Linked DNA regions of Oreochromis niloticus. The protein of the gene in region 1 purifies or fractionates together with the protein of each later gene. This does not show direct contact. Links are inferred from orthologs where the notes say so. Each region holds a gene or a part of one and is shown on either strand. Other genes may lie near its edges. The genes, in order: rnd3a and plekhg5b.

Evidence for each region.
Region 2: the proteins of rnd3a (region 1) and plekhg5b purify together in Homo sapiens (affinity purification with western blotting; 3 studies listed by BioGRID and IntAct, with this or other methods). This does not show direct contact. The link is inferred for Oreochromis niloticus from reciprocal best matches to the Homo sapiens genes RND3 and PLEKHG5.

Annotation. Positions count from the first base shown.
Region 1 is NC_031986.2:6,636,132-6,640,052, reverse strand, and holds the start of rnd3a (rho family GTPase 3a), read left to right. Parts: upstream 1-1,315; 5' UTR 1,316-1,549; coding exon 1,550-1,699; intron 1,700-2,007; coding exon 2,008-2,095; intron 2,096-3,921. UniProt on the Homo sapiens protein: Binds GTP but lacks intrinsic GTPase activity and is resistant to Rho-specific GTPase-activating proteins.
Region 2 is NC_031984.2:7,999,454-8,003,374, forward strand, and holds the start of plekhg5b (pleckstrin homology domain-containing family G member 5), read right to left. Parts: upstream 2,307-3,921; 5' UTR 1,603-2,306; exon of another isoform or gene 1,518-1,602; 5' UTR 1,433-1,517; coding exon 1,351-1,432; intron 1-1,350. UniProt on the Homo sapiens protein: Functions as a guanine exchange factor (GEF) for RAB26 and thus regulates autophagy of synaptic vesicles in axon terminal of motoneurons. Involved in the control of neuronal cell differentiation.

The DNA.
Region 1 (3,921 bases):
TCTATTTACTACAGAAACGTTTACTTTATCGTGCAGAAAAACTGAGACATGCTGTTGAAATAGCATTTATTTTTTCTTGTATGAAGATAACTGAGGGGTTCAGCGCGTGGTTAAGCTTCTTTACACTGAAAGACGAGTGTCACTGGTACGTCCCACTTAAGGCCAAAGTGGGACGTATGTGGCCCACGATGTAAAACGAGCTTGACACCCCTGCTCTGTACCTTTAAACCTTTTTTATGTGGTTTCCTCCTCACTGATCTTGTAGCAAACGCTATAGCAACAGGGTGTTTTAAGAAAACTAAAGTAAAACAGCAATGCTGGGCTATAATTGCACATTATATTTTGTCTGTTAGAATAGTCACTGTGTCATATTAGACAATTATGGAATCATAAATCTTTATTACCCTTTGCCTTTTAGTCAGTCATGCTAAAGAAAGTAAACAGACAGTGTGTGTATCATAGACTGACTGTGACGTGTTCCTTAACTCCAGGGGCGGGGCCTATGTTCATGACAGTAACTCCATTACCATTTGTGCTGGGGACAAAAAGCCTGTATGAGACTTGGATGATAAAGGGTTAATTCCACCTAGTTACAGCAGCAGCAAGGTTATTTTGCTTTTGCTTGCCCATGTTTAGTTACACAGATAACTGAGTGATAACTCTAAGCACACCTATCTTCATGACTGCCCTACAAGGACTGATCATTTCTTGATTTGGGCTACATTTACTTGCTTTACTACATAGTCACAACTCAGCAGAAGGACTTAAGGGCTGAACTGTGGCTATAAAAATAATAACTATCTATATTTTATAGATGCATTGATGTGCTGGGTAAATATCAGCACGGGCCTTGTTGACTTGTATTTGGTATATTGGCAAATAAATAGCAAATAAACTGTTTGCATGTATCTGCTGTATTCCATCAATTTTAAAACTTTAATACAGTTTTATGCTGTTATGTTGCAGATTTCCTATTTCATAGTTTCAAGACAGGCCAGTCTTTATTTTTATCACTATTTTATAAAATCATGTTATCTAAAGGAAAGGCAACATAAATAGTTTGAATTGCCTTGTGCTGGTGCTGCTCTTCTTGTAAGTCTAAGTTTTGCGCAAAATTCTTTTTTTCAGTGCTTCACAACTATTTCACTCTAAAAATTGGCAAAGGGAAACTATAATCTGATTTACTTTACTGATTAAAAAAATCTTAGTTTGTGTTTTATTGTTTTGATGTTGAAGCTGAGGTCTGTGTGTAGTCCAAACGGGGGCGCCATCACGGTGCCTGCCCCGGCGTGCGTCTGTGTGGAGGCTCGCTGGACGAAGGGAGGGACGTGCCTCATCCCGACGGAAGGAGAGCCGCTGCCATTGGCTCCTGCGACGTTATAAATGTAGGCAAATGGAATTTACCGGCTCAGAGCAGGCGGAGACACCGGGGGAGGAGAGCAGGCGCGCAGGCTTGGAGGCACCGAGACCAGCTGCTTCTCGACGGTTCACACACACGCACACACAGGATTGGACTCATTTTTAAACTCTTTGATCCCGACTCAAATCAATGAAGGAGAGACGCCCGTGTCAGAAGTTATCTCTGAAATCCAGCATGGATCCCAGTCAGAGTGTGAAGTGTAAGATAGTGGTGGTGGGGGACAGCCAGTGCGGGAAGACTGCGCTGCTTCACGTGTTCGCCAAAGACTGCTTCCCTGAGGTGAGACCCTGCAGCCACGATGCATGTTAATAACACACACAGATACCACGACCAGCACATCTCATTGTTCTTCTGAACCTGGCTGTGTCACGTGGATTGTTCCAGTAGTGATGAAGGACATTCATGTTGTAGTGCTTGATACGTGTTGGGATGAGTTTTGGCTGAAATCCAAACGTAGTAGTACCAACACCTTTGTAGTATACGATCGTGTTAATAGGGTAATAAATCTAACGTTGCTCAGTTTCTTCAAAGTTTAAAACCTGGCAGCTTTCCTCCCTGACCTCCCCTCTTCTAAATGTTTCCCGCAGAGCTACGTCCCCACTGTGTTTGAAAACTACACAGCCAGCTTTGAGATCGACACGCAGAGGATCGAGCTCAGTTTGTGGGACACCTCAGGTAATCCTCACCTCCAACAACCTCTCTGTCTGACTCATGCTCCAAGTGTCACCTTGTGCCAGTTGTGGCGGTGGTGTGGACATGTTCTGACACGCACCTCGGTGATCAGTCACTCTCCAGTTGCTGATTTGAATGATATGGAGCTAGTTTATTATTAACTTTGTGGGGTAGAATACACCCATGTTTGACTACATCATAAATAAATAACAGGTTTTAGCCCAGAATGTCCAAATCAGAGACAGGAGAGTCCCAGGGCAGCTTTTTTTCTCAAATAATGAAATTAATCTGTGACCCATTTTAATCGATGTAGCACAGTTAATCCTTTCCCATAGTCTGGAGTCGCTGTTCCTCGAAACCGCACGTTTCCCCTCAGATTAGATCGGGGCTTACCTTTTACCTACATGGAGACGTTCAGCCTCGTAGCTCAGTTCGAGCGCAGAAACGCCTCAGTGGAATGGATCTGATTTATGAATTCCTCCCAGCTGAGCAAAGCTCAAGTGGAAACAGGAAAGGAAACATAATGATAGGCCGAACGGAGCTCATATTCATACATCTGGTGAACACACTTTGAAATTCATCCTGCTTCCTGTGCTTTTTGGGAAGGTTGAGCAACATTGGCTCAGCAGCTTTTTTTCTTTTTAATCTCCTGCGGGTTAGACTTTGTGTTTGGGGTCTGAAAACCAGCATCGTGTGTGTGTGTGTGTGTGTGTGTGTGTGTGTGTGTGTGTGTGTGTGTGTGTGAGTGAGTGAGTGAGTGAGTAAACAAACCCATTTTCCCATCGATCATTGCCTGAGCACTGAATAGCACAGCAGTGAGGTGTATGTTTCATGTGTGTGAGCATGTGGTGTTTGTGTGTGTGTGTGTGTGGGAATGAGAGGAAAATCCCTGGCCTGGAATTCCTGAGTGACGTTTGGGTAACTTGAAGATCGAGGTCAGTTTGAGATCTTTCTTTCTTCCTTTGGAAACACGCAAAACATCAGACTGGAAAATCCAACAGCAGCTTCTTAAAAGCCAGATTTCTGAGCAGTTTTATACTTCAGAGCAAATGAAAGTAAAAGCATCTGCAGAGTGGCGCTCCTTTGCCGCCTCAGTAACTCTACAAGAAAGTGAAACAAGGACATCAAATTGAAAATTCCTTCATCTCTCCAGTTTTGTGTGTAAATGTGGAAAGGCGAAGAAATGAAAACTGGCCCGAGTGAGAATTTTCTTTTATTGAATTGTGTTGGCTGCTTGCCTGGAGCCATTTTTCTTTCTCTCTGTTTCATAAAAGGAGTGTTGGGGGGTGGTTTCCTATTAGATCATTGGATTTTAGAAGGTGCCAGATACCCCTATACCAACCCACCCCCTACCTTCACTCCAAACCCACACCCAGCACACAAACACACACACAGTGACCAATTGATGCAGCTTTCAGCTTGACTGGTCCCTTTTTTTTTTTCTCCTTTTTTCTTTTGAAACCCCCATCTGCCACAGCCAATCCAATTGATCCCTTATCTCCTGAGGTGTGTGTGTGTGTGTGTGTGTGTGTGTGTGTGTGTGTGTGTGAGACCCAGGCCTGCACTCTGACAAAGACCAACACGAAGGGAGGAAGACAAACATTGTGGACTGCCACCCGCTCTTCCCCTCCCTCTCAAACACACACCTCCACACACACACCGAGGTGGTCTTTGTTCTGCAGTGATGAGTGGCCTAATGAGCAGCCTGCTGTTTATATGTGTTTGTGTTTAAATGGGACGGTGAAGGGAGTAATTCGGCCCATTAAGGTAAATTCCTGCCAGTTATACAGCCTTCCATTTGCCCCCCTCTCCCCAACCTACTTGTCTGC
Region 2 (3,921 bases), on another chromosome or scaffold:
TAACTTGAGTTTGCACCAGAAGTTAGCGAGGGTGGTCTCTGCCCATGCAGCTACTCTTGGAAAAACATGTAAACTGTTCTTATGGCCATCATATGACATTTCATTTAAATATACTCAGATGTCAAACCTCGTCATTAAGGGTACAGGCGAGGTCGTCAGATGTCGCCCTTATGGGGGGAAGAGTTAAATTTCAGCCTCTGACCTCTGACATCAGTGAACATCACCGATATGGCTGATACCGATAGTAGTCTGACATGAATCAAACAAATTAGGCTCAATCGACTGAAAATAAAGACATGCGAAGACCACACTTCTACATTTACAGTCAAGCTTTGTATGAACAGCACATGATGGCTGCAATACTACGAAGCATTAAACTAATATGTCCTTCCCACAGTTGACATCTTTCGGGACATCCCAGCAGTGAATAAGTGCACACAGCAGAGATATTTCTTCAGTTTTTGTTTTGTTGTGGACGACAGAGACCAGACTAGACATCTGGCCCCAGATTAGACCAGTGTGTTTAAGACAGACTTAAGACTCCGGTGGCCTGGAACACTGAAGGGTTCCAGACTCAACCAATTAAGGCTGCTAAACTTTAACTCCGTGCATACTTCACTTACTGCATGAACCCATGAACTGCAAACAGTGTACATGAACATGTAAAGTCTATAAAGGAGAGGGAGAGCGAGAGAGAGAGCTAAATTCCAAGGACATCAGTCTGATAAGTCTTCAAAGCTAGAAGAGTCAAGTATTCATTTTATTAGGTTTCCATCAATAAAAGCTCAACGAGAAACTAATTTGCAGATTACCTGAGTGTGAGAAACAGTTAGATAAACTCATACTGCTAGAAAGGTCGTTACACATCTAAATTATGAGGAGGAAAGAGTGGAGGAGTGCATGAAAAAAAACTGCAGTAAATTGTACTGTCTGGAGATTTACAAGAGGTAATATCAATCATCTGAGTGTAGGCCTATACCGAGTTGTCCCAAGATCCTTTATCAGGTGCATAACTTCAGATCAGAGTGTACTGTCCTGTCTGACTAAAATATTCCTGCCTCCAGCTGGGATAATTGCTCAGGTCACTTGCCAAATCCAGCCATTAACTTTGATGACTGGAGGAAAGCATGACACAAAGAACTGCTGCCTGAGGATCAAAGCCATGAGAGATCCTCTCTTCCCCTTCCTTTGTGACTTTTTGAAGACAAACTCACAGTGAATCACACAAATAAGCATGCTGATCACTCTGAGGTGATGACTTATCCAACATTACCCAGCTGCAGACTGAGCAGCCGCTCGAATATTAAGATGGTGATCAGTCAGTAGCTGACTTCATGAATTTTTACTTACTCAGGCGTAATCTGAGACCAAGCCAGCTCCTTGGTGGCGATTTGTGCAGAACTGAATTCATGGTCCACTTGTTTGGCACCATCTAAACATACAATCCTTCTCGAAATCCTCTCCCGCACCAACTCCAGCTCCTCGCAGGTCCGTCTGTCGGTGTGGAAGGCTCAGCGCTGATCAGCCAGAAAAATGTTTAATTAGCACATTTTCATTTTCCTCTCATTCCCACGGTCGACCTCTAAAAGGCAGTGTGCTCACACTGGAGGATCTGCTCGGCGGCGAGCACAATGCTGTTCATATCACGGCGAATGCGCGGAAAAGAGTGGCAAAAAGCATCCCTCGGTGCACACGAACAAAAGTTAACGCTGGTCTAACGACTAGTGAAGCACAGCTGCAGGTTGGACTGTGCTCTAAATGACTTGTTGCTGTCTGGACGCGTGAAAGAAAAAAAAAAAATCCTCCCAGCGTCCATCGAGCAACGTCTGTTGGTGAAGCTCGATCGGTGCAGGAGTGGGATTACGAGGAAAAATCTTCCCCTGGCCTTTAAAGCTGCAGCTCAGTGGATGGATTTCCTTCTTAACGAAACTTTACACAACGCTCGGGTGAAGTTGGATTGTCCGCAGTCTCCTCCGGCCGCCTTCTCCGTTCAGACACCGGTTCTCGTCCATTCATTCATGGAACCTGGATCCACAAAGACTCAGTGCAGTTTCTCGCTCTCAAGTGGCGCAACGCTGCTGCTGGAGGCGCCAGAGATACACATGCAGACAACAGCAGCACAGAACAGAGGTTCATTCACGTTTTCAGTAAACTTGTCACATGTAAACAGTGAACACAAAACAGCATCAGGTGTGTGCTCCACCTTGAAAACGGCAGGTGAGGAGAAAGGAGAACGAAAATGCCTGGGACATCCCAACCCAACAAAGGCTACACCTTTCTATAGTGGGCCCTCCAGTTAATGTTGTGCCTGTAAAACTTTCTGTTTTTGTCAGAGGCGTTTCCAGTTTTTTTTATAGGGGTGCGCCTAAAACAAAGCACCACTGGGTGGTGGGGCAAAGGAAATGAAGTCGGTGTAGACAACACTGGGCAAGGTTTTCTGACTCATACGCAGCCTTGTGTCCTTACACAGATGGTATTATTAAAAAAAAAAAGGTGGTGCACAAGACCTCAGACAACTTTATGTATTAAAAACCGTTTTACAAAACGATAAAACAAGTAGCCTATTAAATAAAAGCCACAGTAATAGTTTAGCATTAAAATCTACTCAAATAAGCCAAAGTAACTGAGGTAAAAGTAATTTTTTTTGGAGCACATGTACGTTGCATCACTATTGATTTAATGTGTATATCGAATTAATTTTGCAACTGGAAACTATTTTATTTACTTATATACTTAAATGTAGCTTTATTTGTATTAAGCCAGCATCAGTAGTACCAAAGCTTTAAAATACATGATGTGGACTACAAAGTACATTATTTCCAATAAGAATGTTGTGGAATAGAAGCGGAAAGTAATAGAGAATTTCTTAATGTAGCTACAAGTACATTAACACAGCACTTCTGTAAAGTATTACATCACATTTTGCTCACTGGTTCTATCTATGCTCTCTTCCAATGGCAGTGGGCGTTGCAGGATTAACTGTACTCGCATCACTGTACTCTAATGCAGTAACAGTGGTGGTGAGGTGGGGCACCAGGGCAGTGATCCTTAATTTTAGTGGTCACCTGGACATAAACACTGCTTCTATGGAATCACTAGTTAAATATATGATAGAGAAACTTTTAAAAAGTCTGCTGATTGCAGCAGTGAATATTTTCTATTAATATCAATACAGATATCGAGTGACATGATGAAGACTATTAAATGGGTTCTACTGTACCAAAACTAAGCAGACATCAAGTATTCATGCTAGCTACTGTGAAAATCAATGTAATCAAACAGTCTAAAGAATCTGTAATTGCATGCATGTTTACATTGAATGTGAACAACACTGTCTCTACATTGTTGTTGTTGTTGCAGGCAGAAGATGAACATCACATAAAGAGTGAGGCACAGATTTTTTTGTGAGGAAAAATACAGCAACGAAAACAGGATTTGTGCATGGCTTTGCCTTTTGGCAGGTGTCCTCGATACTTTTGTGGTTGGTGTTCCAAGTTTTAACCAGATCAAGAACCTCACCAACTCTGCCAAACCCACCACGGGAACAAAAAAAAAAAAAGCTCACATGTCCCATTAAAACAAAAATTAAAATTTTTATACTTAACTGGACTGCCAAATATTTTCCCTTTAAAAGTAATGAGGTGGTGTGCAAAATGTAGACAATATAGGGAAAATATGTCAATTTCAATTTTCAACGTTGCTGCCATCAAACCTGGGAGGATTTATAAACTCATTTCCAAATAATTTGAAGCTCATCATTATTCACAAGTGAAAAATATTCAAGACAGTTGACAATCACAGCAAACTCACCACAATGTCAGAACATGCAATGCTCAGAGAAACTGCATACATCCCATGCGCTACATCTCGGAATCTTTAGGCCTTTATCAGCATGTTAAATGTTAATGTTCATGACAGCAG